3 linked regions of the Lepisosteus oculatus genome follow. The protein of the gene in region 3 interacts with the protein of the main gene of each other region in a pairwise test. Links are inferred from orthologs where the notes say so. Each region holds a gene or a part of one and is shown on either strand. Other genes may lie near its edges.

What was found.
Region 1: the proteins of wasla (region 3) and arpc3 interact in binary tests that used the Homo sapiens proteins (3 or more experiments, as listed by UniProt). The two-hybrid records come from large-scale screens. The link is inferred for Lepisosteus oculatus from reciprocal best matches to the Homo sapiens genes WASL and ARPC3.
Region 2: the proteins of wasla (region 3) and rnf8 interact in binary tests that used the Homo sapiens proteins (3 or more experiments, as listed by UniProt). The two-hybrid records come from large-scale screens. The link is inferred for Lepisosteus oculatus from reciprocal best matches to the Homo sapiens genes WASL and RNF8.

The regions. Positions count from the first base shown.
Region 1 is NC_090717.1:10,186,525-10,194,626, forward strand, and holds the start of arpc3 (actin-related protein 2/3 complex subunit 3), read right to left. Parts: upstream 3,028-8,102; 5' UTR 2,922-3,027; coding exon 2,916-2,921; intron 2,337-2,915; coding exon 2,237-2,336; intron 1,580-2,236; coding exon 1,503-1,579; intron 368-1,502; coding exon 299-367; intron 1-298. Other genes in the region: gpn3 (GPN-loop GTPase 3), read right to left, coding at 5,158-5,226, 5,610-5,738, 6,408-6,504, 7,273-7,388, 7,864-7,988. UniProt on the Homo sapiens protein: Component of the Arp2/3 complex, a multiprotein complex that mediates actin polymerization upon stimulation by nucleation-promoting factor (NPF).
Region 2 is NC_090697.1:43,194,132-43,201,639, reverse strand, and holds the start of rnf8 (E3 ubiquitin-protein ligase rnf8), read right to left. Parts: upstream 3,028-7,508; 5' UTR 2,947-3,027; coding exon 2,821-2,946; intron 1,974-2,820; coding exon 1,845-1,973; intron 1-1,844. UniProt on the Homo sapiens protein: E3 ubiquitin-protein ligase that plays a key role in DNA damage signaling via 2 distinct roles: by mediating the 'Lys-63'-linked ubiquitination of histones H2A and H2AX and promoting the recruitment of DNA repair proteins at double-strand breaks (DSBs) sites, and by catalyzing 'Lys-48'-linked ubiquitination to remove target proteins from DNA damage sites.
Region 3 is NC_090702.1:38,463,032-38,470,434, forward strand, and holds the start of wasla (WASP like actin nucleation promoting factor a), read right to left. Parts: upstream 3,083-7,403; 5' UTR 2,523-3,082; coding exon 2,412-2,522; intron 1-2,411. UniProt on the Homo sapiens protein: Regulates actin polymerization by stimulating the actin-nucleating activity of the Arp2/3 complex. Involved in various processes, such as mitosis and cytokinesis, via its role in the regulation of actin polymerization.

The DNA of each region.
Region 1 (8,102 bases), on a different chromosome or scaffold from region 3:
GAACTAGGCATCTGACAGAACAGACGCTGTCCTTAATGCACTGGCACTGCAAGCCCAGCAGGTTTCAGGGGTCCCTATGATGCAGAAGTCACCTGGCTTTCTTCTAGCTCGGACAGCACTTGGGTAACTGCGTGCATTCACCTGGGCAGTTCTGATCCTGATTGATTAATGCTCTAGGCCTTGCCCTCAAAGAATGACCCAACCATCAATGCATGCAATGTCTTCTGAAGATTTTTGATTTGGTGATTTGGTTTGGTGTTACAGTCGAAAGTTACTGCATGATCCGTGCCTCTCTCACCTTCTGAAGCTTCTTGAGACATTCCGAAATGTACAAAGTCACGTAGATTAAAGTCCGGTCAGCTTCATTCTGCAAAGGAAATCAAAACCAAACTTTTTAACCCATTTTAAAAAACAAAGCAGTGTTTCTTGGCTCCATTCTTTGACAAGCAGTTGAGTCTTTTGATTTAACTAGGAAGTCCAAACCTTTTTGACTTTACTAACCTCCAGAACAATGTGCTTTAACCTCTTATAGACAAAATCACCTCCAACCTGACTGTGGCAACCAGTAATTGAACATCAAAGGAATATTTTTCCCCAATATATACATTCAAGACGAACAGTACAGCGTGCTGTAACTCTGAAAGGAAGAACTGTGGTAAATACCCAGTACAGCTCTTGTCTCTCTATTTGATCAAGCTCAGGGCATTAATGAAGGGAGAATAGTTTCTGAACTTCACTGGAGGAGCTGCAGTGGGGCCCAGATGGAGAGCTATGATTAGACTCTGAGGCATGGGGTCCTGTTGCAACTGAGACAGGCCCAGACAGGTAGGCACCTTTCCCTCCTGGAGGAGGCAAGAAGCAGCTGTGAGCCGAGGGCAGAGGGAAACGCCCACTCCTGAGCGGAGCTGTGCTCTGGTCACAGGAAAACACACCATCCCCACTTCCTGCAGGGGTACTGCAACAGTTACCCCATCATGCAGCAGTACCTCATGAGCAATTTCGGACAACGTAAAAAACGAGTCAGACCACAGAATGTCTTGGTAATCACACCCACACGAAAATTGTTAATTTAGGAAAGTTAATCATCTTGTTTGATTAAATAATGTAGCATTATTACAATGGAGCACAAATTACAGCTGAATGATTTTACTGCACAGACTGCATGTTCTCTGAGTGCAATACTAGTCAAACCAGACAAGTAGCCAGGATCCTTCCCTCTCTTTTTCCGTCAGAATGAAACTTCACGTTTCATGATTCTATTCATTTGTGTAAGACGACTTGCCTGAACACTAAAAACTGTTTAAGAGACGGACAACGTCACATCTTAAGGGATCAAAGGAAATTTGAAGAAGTTGTTTCCGATTTTAACAGGCTCGTACTGCTGTGCTTTACACAAACTCCTTTTCAATAGAAGAACGCGTTTTGTTTCTATTCGTACGTTAACAATATAAATGCAAAGGTGGTGTGTGCTCATGTGCTACATGGGGGGTATTTTCACTTACCTTAATTTCATAATTCTTGAAGAAGACATTGGCTTTGAAGTAGTAGATGGCTTCGTCAATGATGTCAGAATCTTTGGCTAAGATGGGGGAGAATGCGTGTATGTTAAGCGAACTGAATTTAAAAAATCAAATGGTGATGGGTAAAAAACAAACAAACGATGATGATAGCAGCGAATCTTAACATTTCGCATCAGAGAAACTTTCAGTAAGAGCAAACTTTCCAAATAAGGAAGCCAGAGACGTTCGGGTCGTGACGTCACAACCATGCAGGTCTGGTTTTGACACGCAGACGCGAACAAACCGCAGAAAAGTCAAGCGGACGGAAAATATCTGCCCGTGCATAGAGACACACGACAGTCCAGTCGCCATCATGTAAAATCGACGTTTGTTTTTTTTTTTTTGGAATAATTTAATCCACCTGTCCACAAGATAAACCTGGAATATACATTAATAGCTGATGTGTGGTGAGCGTTCTGGCGCACTATGGCTGCCGTCGCATCATCCAGGTGGATTCTGCACATTGGTGGTGGTGGAGGGGAGACCCCATTACCTGAAAAGCGCTATATAAGTGTAAGCAATTATTATTATTATTATTACATGAAGACATGAGAACAGGAGTAAACATCGCGTAAAGCTGAGCAAAACCATCAGCAACACAAGACGCACTGTTCACATGCCGCGCTACCTTCCAGGTTTCAGGGTAATTCAGACCACCCAGGCTCAGGGGTACTCACTTTCCCTGGGAGCCGGCCCTTTAAACTGGGTTCTCAGGGGCAGCAGAGCCATGTTTCCAATCAGTTTGGTGTCGGGGTCCATCAGGTTCGAATGGTAAGCCTGCACAGAACAGAACAGACATGCACGATCGGCTTCCCCGCACACAAACAAATCACTCCACAATTCAGAGCCCTGTCAGCTGAAGGTAATGAGGATTTAACATTCGTCAAACTAACTAAATTACATATTTTGGTGGGATAAAAAATGATACATCTTGAAGTTATTCGAGTACGTCGGAAGTCAGTTTTAACCCCCGACTGTTGTTTGAAAAAGAAGCATTTTATACTTGGGGATTAGGAAGTGTTTCAAATAAACACCCGTAAGATGAAGCTTCTATGCGTTGAAGTGCGGGTACTTCTTTCCTCCGTTGCCCTGTGCAAAACGTGCCTCGTTTCCCTGTGTGCAACGCAGCTTATTTTTTACTTTTAAAAACCAAAATGTTAAGTTGAATAATTTAAAATTCCTACTGGGCCCGATTCACTTCCTGAAAAAAAACCTATAGATTGACTACTGTAGTCGCTCCCAGTGCCTTTTCACATCCGTTTGGTTAACTACAAAAAGCCATGGAATAAACCAACAGTAATTAAAAGCAGGCTCATACACCTACGAACATGAACTAAATTAACTAGCAAAACTTACCGGCATTTTGAACCTGTATTTTCTCCTGTTAACACCGATAAAATGCTGTCAGACCCGGCGCACAACACTTCCGCTGTCCCACCCAGAATCTGCACCAGCAGGAAGTGACAAACCGCTTCCACCTTCCAGCTGTAAGTGCACCGCACTGCCACAAGGTGGCGCGCAGCACGATGTACGTTTTCTTAAAACGTGAGATTTTACAGAAGATCAATTGTATCGAAATCCTTAAAAGCACTGAGCTAAAATAAACTCACTGATTTTCGTTTTCGATTTGCGAATTATACAGTTAAGTACACGGATAAACAGAAAATAAAATCCAACATGTTGGATTATTATATAGAAAATAATCAGCTTAATTGTTTAATTGGCTAGCGAGACCTAATCAACTGAGACTTTCCAGGAGCTCGGGTTTTACACCCCTGGACCACCCTCAAGGCCTGGGACACCATACACTGCTGAGAACCCATATCTTTAAATTGCTCTAGTCACAGCAGTCGTGACAGGTGTAGCTTAATAATACGGGTCCCTTTATCTTTATGACATACAGAGACGATACCAAGACTGGCAGACTGAACACCTACTGGAGTTCAATTAAAAGTAAATCAGTGGTTAACAGAATTGTCGTATCTTGGAAAGGGCTTTATGTGAATATATTTAAATAGAAATTAAAGTGATGTTGTCTTTTCCATTTAAATGAATTTGATCACGACTGGAAGATGTGCTGTCTTTTGACATTGTGTTTGAATTATCTTGAGTCATAATATATATATATATTAATCCATTAGTTTTATTATCCTTTAAAATAAAGAGCATGTGATAATGTGTGGGAGTTGTTTTGCAGTGTTTTTTCTTAATCAGATTAGATGCTGTATTCTTCCAAAAGGTCTTAAGTTAACTGTGCAAGAAGCACCGAAAGTAACTTCAGCATAAAACCATTCTATGAAAAAACAGGAAGCTGGAAATTGATTTTCTGTACTGTGTTGAAATAATGTACTGTAAAATATCTCATTTATAGCATTATAAAGGATAATTAAGATGTGTGATTCAGAATAGAAAACGTAGAAACACGTCTCTAGATCATGTGCAATGCTAGAATCAAGAGGTGGCTTTGCAGTCCATCCGTCTTGTTTTGATTGCTAGGTCATTGCAAGTAGCTAATTGATGAGAGAATCTCAAGCAGCTGTTTTCTGAAGGGAACCAGTGTCTCAGCTTCGGTATTGCAGCTGGGTAGCTTGTACCAGACTCCTACAAACCTTGACATCAGAAGTGCCATCTGGCCCCTGATTTAAAATACACTTCCCCTCAGTTACCATTTGCACCCTCTAGGTTGTTTCAATGTCAATTATTTTATTAATAAAATATAAATTTCCAAACCGCAATTCAAGATTAAATTAAATTACTAACCATGAACTCCCACACTAAAAAAAAATCCATACATTCCACAGGCCCATAGCTCTCCACCCAGACCCTTGTGCCAAAGCTGAAGGTCTCATACTTCAGAAGTCCAGTTCTGATCCTGGAGAGAAAGACATGCAAGGGTTCCCAAACAACACAACACAACCAGTTGCTGGAATAATTAAGAATATTCATGGTTAATGGGTCCTGTGATGTCTGAAAGACTTGGGGCACCCCAGGGCCAATGCTGGAATCTACTGCAGTGATAAAAAGCATTACTATTAAACAACTCTTTACATTTCAATCATCTAATTAAAAAATAAAATGCAAAACAACATTTGTACCTCTGAACGCCCACATAACAGGAAAGACAAATGTCTTTAAAAATCCATCTTGGTTGGTTTGAACAAAGTTTCAGTTCAGTGTAAAAGGATAGAAAAAAGTCCCTATTTGCCGTGAAACAATAAATAACCTAAATAAAATCTGCCAAGGAACTGACAACAACGCAACAAGAGTTCTGGGGGCAGGAGGGTGTGTTCACTTGAGACCCTAGTCCTCCTCTTCCTACCAGGCTTGTCAGGTTGACAGCGGACGAAATGAATCAGATAACTGAAGACCTTTTTCAAGCTACTCCAGGTAAGGACCATGAGACTCGTGCTGGGCAACCCGGCATTACATAGGCAGTAGATATCAGAGGTTTCCGTTTCTATAAAACAGAAGGACATTTAAAAGATGACGGAGGCATCGGCTCAGTGCGGGAGTCCTGTTCGGAGTCTTTCAGGAGATGAGGAGCCAAAGCAGAATGTCACTGGCCGGCATCTGCTGCCTCTCCTTCCTTCTCTTCATCTTATTCCCCCAGTTTGTCGTGGAAGAACTCATCACAGTAGGGACTGGAGTCTTCATCAGGCTCAGGCTCCTGCAATGGACAACAGTAAGGTTCCCACACAATCAGACTGCAGAAAGGGCACAGACTTGTTACTTAAAGAGGTTTGAATGCAGTTTCAATGAATTGTGGGAAGTTAAACTTGGATACACGCTTCCAAAAAAACAGCAGGGCACACAACCTACACTGTGACCTAAGACAAAAGTATCTAAAAGTGGTTTTGATTTCACTGAATATGAGGAATACAAAAAATGCATATTATGAATAACACAATCTCCAAAATTAATCCTGAAGGTTCATTATGATTGTAAATATCTCAGAATGCATTTCTCGAGAACAGTGTTTACTTCAGAGCTCAACTCACAACGCTAAATAACACGGATCTCCAAGCAGCAGGTGACTGCTGCATCAATTACCTTGGGCTCCTTGAACTCCAGGTCCTCCCCGTACTGGATGGACAAGTCGATGTGCTGCAGCACGATGCCTATCCCCTCCTCGTCTGTGCGATCGAAGGGAAGAAACCGCACCATGCTGTAATCGTCAATCTGCACACAGAGACCCCAGGACAGCTCAGACACACCCGCCACCCAGTGTAATGACAGATTTTATTTGACATCTCACTGCATTCCTGTCCGACAAACAGATGTTTTCTGCTCCTTTTCTGTTCCACCTGCTCATCTAATGCATTTAGGTGCCAGTCTTTCTGCCTCCGATGCTTGGCAAATCTGCATCTTGTTTCAGTAATTCAAAGCACTTTTGTACCTTTGCTATTACTACTGTAATGCAGTTTACTGTAACCCTTCTTAGACTCTCTGCCCATGAGAGGAGAAAGTGTGGTATCCAAATAGAAAGGACATGTGGGTAATTGTTTAAATAATCGAATATCCTCTATTTCTTTTAATGCAGAAAGCACTGTATTATCAATAACAATATCTGAAATGAGACACATTTATTAGGGTTTAAATTAAAAAAGGAAAGCCAAAAAGTTTTAGGTTGTGAGATTCTAGGAAAACTGTGTTTTTTGTTTAGCTATGGATTTGAAATGAGGAAGATCCCCAATTCCTTCATCACAAATTCAGGGAAATAATGTTGGCAGATCATTATTGTGAAGGTAAATTAATTATAATTATGAATTAATAATAAATTTAACTTTTCTTCATATATATATTTGAATACATTATTCACTGAATATGCAGAATTTTAAATGCTCTTACCAAACCACAGATAGCCTTAGTCAGCTTCTTGAACTTTTTACTTCTTAGCGTGAGAGAATTATCTTCAATCATAGAGTACATATCTGGGTCTAAATATCTAAAAGACATGGAAGGAAAAATATCAAATCCTTTTTACCATTCTTAAATAAAATGCTAGAAAAGTCAACACATTAGTAATTTACAAACACAAAGGGGGTAGCAAAACCTTTGTTAAAATTCCATTATTTTTGACTTGACGTTAACAATAAAAAAAGAATGACTATGTAAAGGACCTTTTCTTTTTTAACATTTAATCCTTTATACAATAAAATTAATCATCCATCTATCCTCTAAGTGCATCTTCCAATCCAGGGTCACGGAGGAGGCAAATCCTTCCCCAGCCAGCAGGGGCTCAGCCAGACAGACAGACACACTCACAGGGCCAGCTGTCCAGGAAGTCAATCAACCTACCAGCATGTTTTTGGATTGTGGGAGGAAACCTGAGCACCCAGAGGACACCCACACAAACACGGGGAGAACACACACACAGATAGCACCTGAGGTCTGGAACTGAGCCCAGCACCCCAAAGCAACGAGGTAGTAGCGCTGGCCACTGTACCCCCACACAGCCCACACAGGGAGGAAACCATTGAAGCAAATTCTCACTTAAAGACCTAACAAAGTGAATGAAAAGAATAAAAACAAACCAAGATTGCACTGACTCAAGCGCAGTATTGGTTCGCTTTTGTACAAAACCTGTCAACCTCAGGTGAGCAACAGATTTGACAACACAGTTTTTCTTTACATGTGCTCTACTTCACCACTACCGCTTCTTCATGACTCTAGGACTTGCTAAAACTCTCTGCTCCCCATGGCTTGAACCTACTTTTCAATTTCCTTCTTAGCTTTTGGACTCAGCAGGTCCATTTTCGTCATGATGTTGACCTGGGGGATCTCCAGGGAAACCATGGCACTGAGAGCCGCCATGACACCAGAGATGAACTGGAAAAGCAATCAGAGGGAAAGTGCTTGTCAAAGACCGGCGGCCATGTCGACAGACAAAGAGCAGAGGCCAGGTTTCTAAAATATATGATCTTCATCGGGATTTCTGAAGCTACGTCAGGAGCTAGGGAACCGAATGTTTCTACTGCAGGAAATGGGGACAGTCAAAAAGACCACTTCAAATCCTGGTACTCTTGTGATCTGAGATTAGCAAAACAGGTTAAACATGGAGAGTTTCTTGGTGGTTTGGTAAAAACTTGTGTTGAAAGTTTAGAACCAAGATCCACTTTAACAAGCTAATCCTTTTATTGTCCGTTTACTTCCACTCTTTTTTGTCAGGTTTAGAGCCATTTGGCCCTTCACATAATGTGCACAGATTTGAAAGAGCAGGTAGCAGAGCTGCAGGAAAGACAGTGATATTTCACGGGGATCCTGGCAGTCTGGGGGCGCTGGTGTCCCGGTGCTGGCTCCTGACCTTGAAGGACTCCACCATGAACTGCGAGTCGACAAGGAAGACGCCGCACACCCGGAACTCCCACTGCTGTAGCTGCTCCACCAGCTGCTTCATCACGGGCAGGTGGGTATACAGCTCGATCTGACCTGGGGGACAGCGTCGAGACACAGGCCTAACAGATGAGTCACTCGGGCATCGTACAGGACGCTGGCATTCCCAGCTATTTCAACCGGCAAGAGCTTCCTGCCGCAGATGAAGCA
Region 2 (7,508 bases), on a different chromosome or scaffold from region 3:
TGCGAAGAATGACTGAGGCATAAGCTGTAGCTGTAGTGTTGGCTGGGTCTACGTGTTTCATGGGGTTTGTCCAGCTTCCAGTCTACCTCTTGCTGATGGCGATGGTCACAAACAATAACTGTTGCTGTTGATGAATAGAATTGTCAGTATCCGACTAAAAATTGGAGAACTTGATCAATCCATCAAGCTTCAAAGAGATATACGTCTCCAAGCATTTGCTTCTTTCTTTACACAAATGTGTTGCTGTCCGTTCTGTCACATTAACACCAATTTTGCTAGAGGCGCCAAATGGCCTCCTCTTGTCTGTAACCTCTTCTAACATTTCGATACATATTACATTAATTGCTTTATTATATTCTTAATGGCGTCTACAGGAACAAAAAAAAAACACTGCAATTTGATCCTAACAGAAATATACAGCAGGTATTTTTGTAGATATATTTAGGTATATATTAATATGTAGAAATATTCTGTATTTCAAAATTCTACAGCTTGGATTATATGGATAATTTTGTTTCTGTCTTGGATTCAGATCGGTGAACAAATTATTCATATTGTAAGGCAACAGAAACACATCGTCATTAATCGCATTCAAGAAAATAAAATCTCTTTTTAAATGGTTTTAAAATGATCAAGGCTTTATATAAATGTTATTTTTGCGTCTCGACTAGACTACTGTATTTAACTAGGCATTTATAGTAACTGTTTATTAACGGTTAATGTAAGGGTTAGCAGATTTTAGATCACTTGATTTAAGTTTCAATAAGTTATATGAACATTTTAAACTGTTAATCTCTAAGAACCATTTTTACCCTGAATTTAATGCTTAGGAAAGGAGGCAGTGTTGAAAGGGGGAGTCTATTTCAGAAACTGGTCTACTCCTCTGCACAGTGGGGACTTCATCTTTTTTTGTGAATTCAATTCACAAGTGGAATATTAGTCTAAAACAAGGCTCATACTTATCTTGCGATGCCTGATGCGACAAACTCTATGATGTCCAGTGATTTATGAAAACAATACTTCAGAGCATTACGATTTATCACTGTAAAGTGTGTATATGACAACATTTTTTTCATTTGGTCTTTTTCATAACATATCTGTACCTATCTGAAAAAATGCTACAGGAGGGTTTATGGAATCCAGCGCTAGCTTTAGGTCACTTGCTATGCAAGGAAACACCTCTAAGATTTTTCTACAATTCTACAATTTGCAGAACAATAACCTGATTAAATACTGAACATGTACATCATTTTATTAATGTTCTTATTAATTCATAAATGCACGTACAAACTGCATTTCATAATACTAGAGATCATATTACATATGCAGCAAAACCAACCCATACTAATATTTAGTTATAGGTCAACTATAACTAAATATTATTTTTAGTGTGGCGGGGCAGTGGCCTTGTGGTTAAGGATCTGTGCCTGTGGCTGGAAGGTTGCCGGTTCGTATCCCGTGGCCGGCAGAGGAATCCGTCTCCATTGGGCCCCTGAGCAAGGCCTTTAACCCCAACTGCTCCAGGAGTGCCGTATAAATGTCTGACCCCGGGCTCTGACCCCAAGCCTCTTTCCCTGTCTGTGTGTCTGATGGAGAGCAAGTTGGGGTATGCAAAAAGACAAATTCCTATTACAAGAAACTGTATATAGCCAATAAAGTGATCTTATCTGTTATCTTATCTATTCACAAACCACATCTCAGGAATGTTCGGCCAACATTCACAGTGTCTTCAGGCAGAATAACAACTATGGGACCATTAGCAGTCTACCAGAAATTGAAACACAAAATCCAAAACCTATGCAAATAATACCCAACATAGTATGAAACTGAAATAAAGGCTCTACCTTATTATCTGTCACTGTCCAATGTCCCTCTTCATTTTGTTTGAATTTGCAGTGGTTTCTGGAAATCATTAAAGGACAGCTCCTTGACAGGGTTTGATAAGTGACATCAAAGCTTCGCCCAAGTGTCACCTAAGACAAGAAGAGGCATTATTAAAAATCAAGGTTTACTACTGAGGGCTTCTAGGCAAAGAATTACTACTGTTCTCCTGAACTTTAAAATGTAGCTTGACTTTACAACTTGACAAGCACTGAGGAACTTCAGATAAGATTTCTTTACTAGTGCAGTTGCAAAATACATGCGCCACTTGAAGGGAGTTTATTTTTGTTTGAAAGCTTAAATCATCTAAATCCGATTATTGCAACGTGCTTTTTAAAATTGTACCAATAGTATGCAGGCGATTAACGAAGACAAATGTTATTTTGATCCTTTAAACGATGAAGAGGGTGGGCTTTCAGATAGGTATAACAAAATAAACAAATTATTTATCTGTTTGTATTTTTAAACATGTAAATGTATGTGCAAGGAATAGTCGCTAGTGTTTCAATTACACTCGGATCCAGGTAGATGTGTAAACCGGGGAAACAGGAGTTAGGGGACTTCACCAATTCCACATTTTCATCACTTTCAGGTGACGAGTTCCGTTCTGCAGTGATAAACACCCCAGAATACAAACATGGATATGCTTCTGAAAAAAATATTATTGCATAACTAAAAAAACACCTTCTATTGCGATCCCATGTAACCCCATCCCTCCGCAATCATCGTCATTCGGCACAAAACACACATGAGATGTATTAAAAAGTAAAAGACTTGAAAACAGAAGCACGCAGCTCCGGTGATTAGGATCATATTTGCAACTTTTTACGACTCAAAATACAATTAAGACATTTTTGCAGGTACGCCACTTAGCTAAAAGTGTGAAGGGGGAGGGGTGTTTAGTACTGAAAGAGTAAATGAGAGGTAAGAGAACAAGACCTCTTCTTTCTCGGGCAGACGGAGCCACTCAGCCCTTTTTCCGACTCTTCTCAGGCACCAAATTTCATCTTTCGCGGCATCGTCTTCCTCGCCTGAAACCGCTCCAGACTCTGCTTCCTCTGCCATTATCCTCAGCCCATGACACTACCTCAATAACACAAAAAGTTAAACGCCCATAATTCCACGCTCTCTTGTGGTATTCACGTTCCTGCGCGCTTTTCCGGCGTGAAGCGCTGAACACCATAGAGGTTCTAAAAAAAAGGAGCGTTTCGTCACGTATCTGAAGGAATATCAGCGCCATCTTGGTGGGGTGGAGGACAAAAAAGATCTAACTCAGAATTCATTACATTATTATTCATTACACTTTAAAACATGATCATTTCTCTTTGTTAATCAAGTATTTGTGTTAATATACTCTAAAAAATATAATGTGCAAATATACAAAGCTAATTTATTATGTAACCCACACCATTTCCATTACTGAATATTTTCTATCAAAAGGAGGAGACAATGGGCATACATTATGAGATAACTTTTTATCAATATTGGCGGTAAATAGGTTCTGTATATATTTAAAAGTGCAGAGCGAATCTAACAATTAAACTGAAAATGAATGAAAAATACTGTTGGCTATCACTGGTCTCTCTATTTCTCATTTTGCAAGATTTTTTCTGTTTTTCGGAATTGTGCTCCTTGGAACATATTTGTACAGAAGGAATGGTAATCCATTATTTAGCCACATACATTAGTAGTTAGAGAACAAACAGTAAAATGTAGAAAGGGGAACAGAAGTCATCAGGAGGAGCAGGGTTTCCTTTCTGTAAGCACACAATAGCTACACCTACGTACCTGTAATCTGTTTTAAATATGCACATAAAGAAATGTGTGCGTTCTCTGAAACAGTCGACACATCTTTGTGTTTTTTACAATGTAAATGATGGGACTCTTTCAGCAAGAGAAATGTAATAAATGAGATTAGGGACAAACACTAGTTATGTATATGTGCTACTGAATGTGCATTTCTAGGCAATTTATCTGCTTCTGTTGGTAGCTGTGGATGGCTAAGGGAACAGTGGACAAAAATAGCAAAACAACGGAGATGTTTTCTTTGATGATTGTGAGAATAGAAAGGATGTTGATATCCGCTCTCAAGACTGACTTACAAAGTCTTTGAAACAATAAGAAAAATAGATTTTTGTAAGGCAGAACATGCTGTAGAGGAGGTATGGAGTGCATCAGCAGGTTTGTAATACACAGAAACCTTCAGTTCCAGGTGGCTAATATACCTACTTTTTGTATGTGCAGAAAAAGAAGAGGAGTGAAAGAGATGGATGGAAGTGGGTGAAGTGATGTAAAATTGCTGTAGTAGATTGCTAGAGCAGGTAGCAGCACCAACAAATTCATCATTGTATCAACGTCACCTAAGAAGTATCTTGCTTGTCCACAATCTCGTTTCATAGATCTCTTGCAGACAGCACTGCCATTAACACTGAAGAACTGGCGATGTGTTTCAGGCAGAACATGTGAACAGTAAGGATCAAAGGTTTCACCAAGACAACAGTTCCCTGATATACTGCACCTCTCTCAGACATTATTACATTGAACTTTGTCTTTTTCACATCTTCTGCCAGCTTGCAATCCTTGAAATCTCTCCGTTCATTTACAGATTTCTGCCTTAAACATTGCTCCACCGAATTCCATGTCTTTGGAGGACCCAGATTCAGATTCAAAGAACTTTATTGGCTTGACTGATGAATTATACAGTAGTGTTGCCAAAGCAGAAACAATGAACAAATCATTTACATTTACAGTAAAAAAAAAACATACTTTATTATTGGACATTGAAAGACATCATATAAAACTTTATTCTGAGACAGGCTCACTATATGTTCCTCAGGCTGTGAAAGGACAACACTGGGCTGCCGGTTCTGGGGAGTTTCCTCCCCGCTCCAACAACAGGATTGGAAACCATCCCGATTCTGGAAGGAGTGAGGCACCTTTTTTCATCTGCAGTGCCCATCCTTACATACCCTCTATGTGTTCTCCTTAAAGCCCCCTTTTCTTGTATCCCTTTTCTCTCCATCCTTCTTTCACATACTCACAGAAGAATCCACAGCTGAAATGTTGCATTTTTAATATTTTTTTCTTTCTACTTCCAGCATGGAATTAACCTCTCCTTGTTCCTGCTCTTCAGCTCCCACACTCGAACCTCTTAAACATACCATATTTGTATTTCAAATTTATATAATATTATAGTATATAGTATAGTATTTAATATTTAATATTTTCAATCCAGTTTTCCTTCTTTTTCATCGAGCAATATTAAGACACATTTGTGAAAGACTACAGTTGATTAATGAAGTAGACTTTTCCGTTTTGCGATTACATTACTAAGAACTACAGAAATGCTTCTTTCAAGAAAACACTAAATTTAACTCCACCTTCTGACAAATCCTGTGAATCAGTCCTTGAGTTAGAAAAAGTTAGAGTTAGTGGAGACAAAAATAAGGAGAGTGTTTCTTTGTTCTATATGAGTATTTGCACCTAAAAGGTATAATAAACAAAATATATAATTTAGATGTTTAACTACCACAGCTTTTGAAATCAAAGACTTCTGCAAAGAATGTTTATATTTTGTGATGCAATTGTATTGTTAATTATCAGGTGTATTATCAATATTGAAAACTGCACAGTGTAATTGTTATTAATTTATTTAATTTGACACTTTAAAAACTGATTTAAAATATCATAACACTCTAACAACTTTTTGATCATTTCCAGAAAAAGTGATGATGGCTTGTTTGGGTGAGATTTAAATGTGAACAAAAAAGGTGTGGTTGCTTATACTTCCATTAACAATGTTTGTACTATAAAATTTTGTGTGCAATAAACAATGTAAGTCAGATAAGTCACTTTGACCAAATAACACATTGTTATTTTAGCCCTGCAAATGAATACGGTTTGGCATTGTCAGCACATTTAATTCCTTTTGTTTTTTCTGTTGCTTCCTCGAATATAGAGGTCATTGATCTAGCTTTCCTCGTGTGTGTGGGAATTTCACATCGTAGCACAGATGCTTTTTGTACTTTGCACAACCCTCTGTCCTCTCAAAGGCACCTTTTTATTTTGTTTGGGGTTTTGATATGCACATAACAATTAGAGAAAATAAATCCAAGCCCCTTGTTGACTGTGACTAACCTTAATCTGAGTTCTTAATATCTAAAGAAAATGTCAGGCGTTACACGAGTCAAACATAGTTTAAGCTTCAATACATGGTTTGGAAGACTGATATTCATTTATTGTCCCACGGGTGTAAATTTCAGTCTCTTTTTGCCATGCATCTGCATCCATCCCTCAAGCCTCTCCACAATAGAGATGTGGAGTTTGAACATAAACTCAGAATGACAGAGTTGCACAAAAGGAGACAAAACAGATGGGGATGATAAAGTTCCACATCACTAGAATGGGATCTATTGTCTGTAATACAGTATATTGAACAGGCTTCTTGGAAAGGAAAGCAACAACTAAAACTGCTAAAGATTTTGAAGTGAACGTTCTCAGGAGCAACTGAAGCCCTGAAGCTTTTGTCTTTCTTTCCATATAGTGTTTCTTTCTGAAATATTCCTTAAATTCATTTAAGGCTTACATTTCTTAGTAATCTGAGAATGCCGTCACCAAAATATTAGTTTCCAGCTACCTGCAGATGAAAATCATACACTTTCATACTTTGCAGGGTTTTGTTAATTTAAGAATGAAATATAATGTATTTGTGCAGTCACAGATGTGCACAAAGAATAATGTTACAGTAGTTTGCAGTTCTGAGTCTCATTAGAGGAAACCTTCTAATGTACATACTTGCTTTTGAGTAATGGTGCCAATACAGAAAAGAAAAAGAGAAAAAACAATCATGGTAAAATACAAGAAAATGAATAGAAATTTAGCAGTTCCAGGAATTAATTACACTTTGGAATTAAACAAGCTTGCCAGATTTCTTATCAATCTTTGATGCTTTCATTTTTAAAATCTTCTGTATTTTAGTTACATTACCTTATGAATTTTGCTACTTAAAATCTCAGTAGATGTCTTGCACATACTGTATTTTACACACACAGAAAGTGGTTTGCATTCTGTAACCCTGGGGTGACGATTCAAGATAAGAGAGTCTATATACAGTATATGGCAATACATAGATATGTCATTAAAAAAAAAAGAAGGTAACACAAGCCTTGTTTACCCACTGTTACCGTGTCATACAGCTGTCAAGAAAATGTTTTATAATGGTACCGTTTATGTTGAAACAGTACAATTATAAAGACAGGCAAGCAATGCAAAATAAACGTTTACTGGCAAATTCAACATACGCCTTTAAAACTTTAGCTTCAGGGTCTTTATATACAGTACAATGAAATCTGCAAACTAATTTGATGAATTACTGCTCCCCTGAAAGGAAGAGTAATTTAAGATTTAATCCACACAGGCATTTAGGATTAACAGAAAAAAAAAAAAGATGTTAATTCAGAAATCCATTTTAATCTTCTTAACCTTAACCTTTCATAAAATTGGCTTTTCCATGTATTGTTATCCATTCGGCCAACAGCTGTGTCAGAACTAACTTAGACGATGTAAATATTTCATACACATCTCAGAAACTTCGGGTAAAGAAATTAAATTTGAACACCAAGAAGAGT
Region 3 (7,403 bases):
AAATAGGATTTATTATACCAAAGCTGATATGATTTTTTTTATTTGTATTTGCAAATTTAAAGTCAAAAGGTTTTTCATTGCTGAGTGAATATGAAGTCATGGACAGCGAGTAAAAATACCACTTACGAAATATGACTTATTACAACATTATTGATCCTTCCCTACAGAAAACCTTACAAGATGATTAATTTCATATATGATATGGGTCATTATATGAATTGATTCATGTGCAGCAGTTCAGTTTTCATTTTCAAACTAGTTTTCATATGCCTTCAGAAACTAATACTTTTATTCCCTAAATGTCAGTGTATTTAGGGTCTGTGCATCTCAATAAAATATTACAAAACATGTTTCTATAAAGACATTTGTAGACAGTGAAGGCAGAAATTAGGTTTTTACAAACACTAAGCCTTCACAAATTTTGGGGAAATCTCAAATATGATAATACAGAAAAAAAGACAATATATAAATAATGGAACAAGTATAAATTAATATTAGCTGTTCAGCATTCTTCAGGTGCAAGGCTCAAAACTTCAACAGCTGACATGGGTTTCGTTTCTACTTTTCAGTGTACAATTAACCAAAAGTTTCTGCTTTGCAATCTGCATACTCTCAAATCTCTAGGTATAGGTATAGTGTTTTACACTGATGGAGAGGAGATGTATTTCAGATTAAAAAGCACATCCATTAAATAACTTAATTTGTTAGATAGTCATAAAAAATGGTAAGCACAGTAAATCTAAAGACTTGTGCAACATTTTTCACGTGTTTTTTTTTTCTTTTGACCGGGTATCATAAATGTGTAGGTAACTGCTATTAACCTGGGAGAACCCCTTTTCACTAATTTAAAAACTGTCACAATTTAACATCGCTCCAGATAACTATTCATGTTTACGTACGTTTATAAACGAGCTACAATAACTTTATCACAGCATGCATAAATGCTTGACAAAGTACATCAACACTTGTGCTGAACAGAGCAACAGAAAAACATTTTACAATTTAGGAGACTTTGTTGCTACTAAGCCACTTTAATGCGACAGTGATAAAATGCCGCATAGTAAACCTTACAGTAATTCTAATGAATCGCGTCTCTTTCTGGTATCCACAATGAAGTGATTAAATAGATATGTATGCAGGAATAAAGATCTTTTAAAAAGCTGCGTGTGCGTTTTAACAACTGCTGCATGAGAAAGGGACGAAATCTTGATGACGCATGATCAGGTGACAGCACAATAGATACTTCGCTGAGATGAGGACTGTTAATCGCAGGCTTCTGAAGTTCTTAAATTATAACTGCTATAGGCAGGGATTTAATAAGTATCATGATTTAATAAACAACCTCATATGAAAAACAAAAAGCCGTTTAACGAAACACAGTCCAGTTCAAAATGAATTCGATTGCAAGATTTTTTTTTTACATAATGTTTTCAAATTACCTCCTGTTGAAGTTACAAAGTTATAGTGAATGGTTCACTTCACTTGGCTACCTCTGCAAGAAGCTTGTCTTAGTTCACAACGACACTAACTCCCCGCAGCAGGTGAGTAAGGCAGGTATAGGGCGTTACAAGGCGAAAATATCCATAACGCCCTTGAAGGCTCCTTTTTGGAAACATACAGGCCCTGTATCAACAGGAACATGCTGTAACACTAATGCAGAAATTACTCAGTCGACTATTAGCGCCCTCGGACTCAACTGAACATACTGTAACTTATGGCACCCCCACCTCTCCTGAGATTCTCCTGATATATTTGAACATTCAAAAATTAACACAACTGAGTTTAGGCATCCCTTTAACCCCTGCCATCCCCTCGCTTTCCCAGTTTCTTAAACGCAATGACATTTTCCGGAGAATGTTATGAAAAAAAAAAACAAATCAACATTAGAACAAGCGACAGTACAGCGGCACTATCTTATTCTGCTGCTGAGTGATCCGAGTGGAGCAAAAACAGTGTTATGTAATGGAATCCCTCATAGAATGTGCTTTCCAGCTGACCGAACTTGCCAGCTCCATATTCGATGAGGAAAATAAACAGGCACCGCGGAGCGCAGAGGTTCCGGCTCGCGCTCCGGACGCCGTCGGACACGAACGCGGCCTCGGGGCTCCCCTGCCTTGTCACACCGACCTCCGGACAGCCAGTGCCAGGACAGCACGCTCCATATCCACGCTCTTAAACCCACAACCGTACACGCAAGCATTAACCTAAGACCAAGGGGATCCAGGCACTGTTGTTTTGCTTCACTTTAGTTCTCTTTAGAAAAAAAAAACCCAATGCAGTTTAGGCCGTTTTTAATGAAAAACTTGGCCGATAATTTGTTTTAAGATAATTACAAGAAGATCCCATACTTGTCTACAAGTTATAATAGTATGGACGAGACTAAAATCGAGTAAGTAAATGTTAAAACTTACGATGCATTTCCTGCCGAGGCAATTGAAGAGGCATTCGTTTTCTTGTGGGGTGAGAAGCATAGAGCTCACATTTGTGACACGCCGCGGCGGAGGGGGATGTTGGCTATTCATGATTGCAGGGGTAAAAAGCCAGACGAATATATGTATATAACACTAATTAAGGTATTTTATAAAATGTCTTCAGTCATTGATCAGCGTGGCCTTCCACCGGATCTTCTCATTGATGCTGTAGGTGCTTCTCTCCGAGAGGAATGCGACGGGGGTGGGGGGGTTAAATACTGTTCTGTTTCTGTAGTTTGGGTATTTAATGCAAACAATCCCTCGGCCTTCCGAAGTGCCCCAGAAACTTGGATCTCTCGGTTGGACAAAAACCTAAACTTTCATCCGAACTCCAACAGCAGCATCGGCAGCTCTATCCAACATGGCAGCAGGAAGAAACAACCACTAACCAAACGGGGGAATGCGGGAAAACATAGCGAGCTGGATTCAACTTCGTCCCTTCTTAAAGCTGTCCGGGGATGGTAAAATCAATCTTGATTGCAGCAGCAGGTACGCCGCTCATCCCTGATAGCAGAGAAAGCCAGGAGTGTAAAATTGCCCAGCGCCTCCGGAAACACTTCCTTGTGTCAGGGAATGGTCTAGCCCTGTTGGCCTGTGGATTTTGTAACAAATGCAGTATGCAGAGGGGTGAGCATTTAGCAGGGCGGGGACAAGAGGAGCGTGTTGCCAAGTTGGTGCTAATGTAAACTAAGGGGTGCAGTAAATCCGGACGTAATATAAGTCAAACACTTTGTGCCTTAGAGCAATTTTTGTATTTCTATAATTGTGTTAAATATGAAAATCCTACTCTGTAATCCTTTGTTATTTTCAGCTTCATTACCTAGGTTTTTAATAACATTTGCCTAGCAGACGCCCATACCCAGAGCCGCTTACAAAATATACAGTAATACACAACATACTTCCAAAACTTAATCAGCTTCATAACAACAGCAACAGCAGTGCAGTTGTAATAATAACAATTGTTTTTTTGTTGTTGTTAGTAGTTTAGTAAATAACTTACTACAAATTGACTTGCATCATAATTTCTGTGATGTCGGGTGGAGTGTCTTTAAGTCGCAATTAAAGGACATCATTTTTGAATTGTCTGACATTGTGCTGTTGAGGGCGCTGAAAATCAATGGATCTAGTTTAGACCACCATTTGCGTTTAACTTAATAGCATAACTAATGAATGTTTAGGGAGACGGGACAAATTAATTGGTGCGTTGAGAGCAAAATGGGAAACCAGGAAAGTAAATTTGCGTTTTGTGATATCTGTGCACTGCCATACTATTCAACTATGAAAGTCAATGCATTTTACACATTAGATACTGAATTTCTTCAATTCAATTCTTTTATTCCACTTTGTCAGCGAATACCTAGCCCCAGGGGTACCTAATCACGATGCCAAATAAGGTATCGTTCTATTTAAATGCCTTAATTCAGTTTTAAAGCAGATAAAGCACTCATTTTATAGTTTAGAACAGAATTATATCAGTCATGTTTGTCACTAGACTTCTCACACTTAAGCAATATTAAAGGACAGTTCTAGGAAATATTTTTTTTATAAAATGTCATGTTGCATTATAAACATTAAAGGTAAAGAACAGAAACCAACAGAAACTACAGTATGAATCCTCTGGGAATGGGGAAGAAAAAATTGTTTTCTGAGTCACATGAACATTCAGAGATCAGATTACCAGAATTTGTAATTGTTCTACAAATGGTATGCATCTTGTACTAATGGATGAATTTGTCAGATGTCTTTAATTACTGTGGTGATGATATACAGCTTCAAAATTTTGTAAAAATCCAGAGGTGGGGACAGAGAGGCTCCTACTGTAGGTTACAATTTGAAATTCCAGTTCAAAAACAGGTCAAATTATCTAGGTTTGTAACCCAGACTTAATTATACATATTTATACCTTCTAATGATACCAAGCTCCATTGAAGCAAATTTCATTAAGGTTCAAAATGGCTTTCTCAATAAGAGAGTGTACAGTACATACATATCATCTGCAAAGCTTTGTAGGAAGACAGAAAAGAAGCCTTTGTGTGAAGACAAATGATAAGAAGCAGTGTCCAGCAGTAAGAAAGTCAGGGTTCTGGATTCCAGCTGGAAAGTCAAGGGTTTTAACCCTGAATGGAACACTGCAGTTGCATCCTTGAGCATTAATCACAAATGCAAGTTTTTTTTAAATAATAATGTCACCCAAATACAAAAACAAATGTTGAGAAGAATGATGACCAGGTTTAGTAAGATAAAGCTCAATTTGTATGGCATAAAGAGAACATATTAATAACATTGATTAATTGTTCTTGCTAAATCCTTACGTTTTGTCCCTAAAATACTGAATATCAGCTAAAATCTATTGACTCTGTTAACTAGAATCATCTTTATAATTATGGATACATTACAACATAACCAATAGAATAAGTCTTCAACAGGTGTTTATTTTTATGTAATTATTATCTTATATATGGTACATAAATTCTTAACAGGATTTGTTTTTAATCTTTTACCACCGAAATAGCTGACTTGTTTTACTGTCGCACATCAGAATCCACTGATATATCCTTGTTACAGATTTGCCAGAGTAGGTGAGATGTTTGTGCATGCAGACATAATTAAGCAAGTTTGCAAACATTTTTTTGGATGAGCTAAAATCATCTAGGCTATGTCTATTTATGAGCTAAGGAATGGCATCAGTGAAAGACCATTCCTACTGTATGGAGCTTGGAGAGGAGCCTGTCCCTGCCTCAGAGGATTTAGTGTCTATATACTGTATAACTCTCCACTGCCTTTTTCATAAGAATTTACTTAATTTAATCTTTACAACTGAATTCTTGTCAGCTGTATATTCTTAAATGGTAAAATACTTATATTTGAATCTAATATCCCTTGTGATGTATTTGGCCATTTGAATGGTTTCATTCAGGTTTCTATTTGATTTTGCATTAATTTGGGCATTTTCTGCCTGTCAAAGGGAATTCAGCGCTTATTAATTATTTAACATAGTTTTAAAACCACTGTTTCCAATGTTATCCTTACCAATACTGAGAATGAGTTTTCTGAATCATAGAAATGCTAGAGGTTTAATACACACTTAGGATTATGTTTGTAATTCCTGCTTTTCTGGTAATGTTAAAAGGGTAGGGGTGTTATCTCAGTGTCCTGGCCAAATTTCCCATTGGCCTTTACCACTCATGGCCTCCTAATAATCCCCATCTCTCAATTGGCTTTATCATTCTATTCTCTTCTAGTCTTCTGGCGCACTATAACTGACGTCACATCATCCAGGTTGGTGCTGCATTGTTGGTGGTGGAGGGGAGCCCCCATTACATGTAAATCATTTTGTAAATCACTTTGAGCGCTATATAAGTGTAAGGACCTGTTGTTGTTATTGTTAATAATAATAATAATAAAAAAAAAATACTTTTTCAACAATGCAACAGTACTTTATGTTCATTATGTCTGAAAAAATGTTAGTTGTACATTTCATAATACGATTGTGAATATCTGTCTAATATAAACATAGCACTAAAAAATAAATGAATGCAATAAGAACAACTGTGTTTTATAAGCAAAATATACATTGAGAAAAAAAATATTTTGGACAATTTGTTAAAAAATTATTTTAAGCCAGTGTCTGCTCTTTTTACGAAGGACAATTTATTAATATATTTCAGAGAATTAAAATAATGTTTTTCCTCAATACTGTATATTCTAGGTGCTATTGACATTATACTGGCCTTTGTAAATAGTTTTTTACTGATCTGATGCTGTACAGAGTAAACCCCCCCAAAAAAAACTAATATAATCCCTCCAGCTGTAAGGTCTAAAGCTATAATTAAAATAGATTCTTTCTTTCTGGATATACTAGACCAAAGCCCCAATATATGATGATGAAATGTCTTTTCCCTGGAGTGTATAAAATGACATTTGCTTCTAACCACTCCCTCACGGATTCTTTGTCATCAGGAAAAAGGCAGAAAAAAACAGGAAAAACAAGGTGGTTTGGGATTATTTATATAGGGGAACCCTTTAAGAAGAAAGGAAACCTGAACCTGAGTATTAAAAATGCAGCCTGTGTTTCTGAATAGACCATAATATAGATTCTTAATAATCTAAAAAACCAAACACTGAGTACCTACCTTTTTTTTATGAAATCAAATAACTTTATCTGTTTTATTATTCCATTAAATAGTAATACTCAATCAAAAGAAAACTGTTTACTATTTGGAATGGAATATTATAAGCTATTTACTTAAAACTTTATTAAATTACCAGATAGGTCAATTTAAAGCAAATTCCCATTTAGGTCATCCCATTTATGACCTAGGAGGAACCCTTTTCTGGAGCACAGCATTTAGGAGAAATCTTAGTGAGATACATTGCACAAGGGTACAACAGCAGAATATGACATGAGATCTGAATCTATAATCCTACTGTTTCAGAGCCTTCACCACTAGTCCACACTGTTGCCTCAACTTAAACTGTTGCATTTTCATTTTGCATCAGTGTACCATGACTGCATTTCAGACAGCTGTGTGTAGTTATCACTACATATGTGTTGGTTTAGGCCTGAAAATTTGGCCATTTGTGTTTTCTGTGGTTCACTGCTGGAAGTCATTTTGGGTAAAAATACATGGGGCCATTTGACAGTAGTAGCATGCCAGCTGTAGGCCAGTACCAGCTTCTTCAGAAACAGCAGTATGTCAGCTGTTGGCCAGTAACAGCTTCTTCATAAAGAGCAGCCTGGGCATGTGTCTCTTATTACTAATATGTGTGGACTAGTATGGATCCATATAATCAGAAATATACTGGGAAAATACTGGTTGCACATTCTGTGCTGTCTCAACTATCACATGTGGCCTAGTATTGTGTCAGTATCACTTGGTTTATATTCTAGACCATTAGAATATTTAGACTTTATCTGACTTCTTTCCTCTT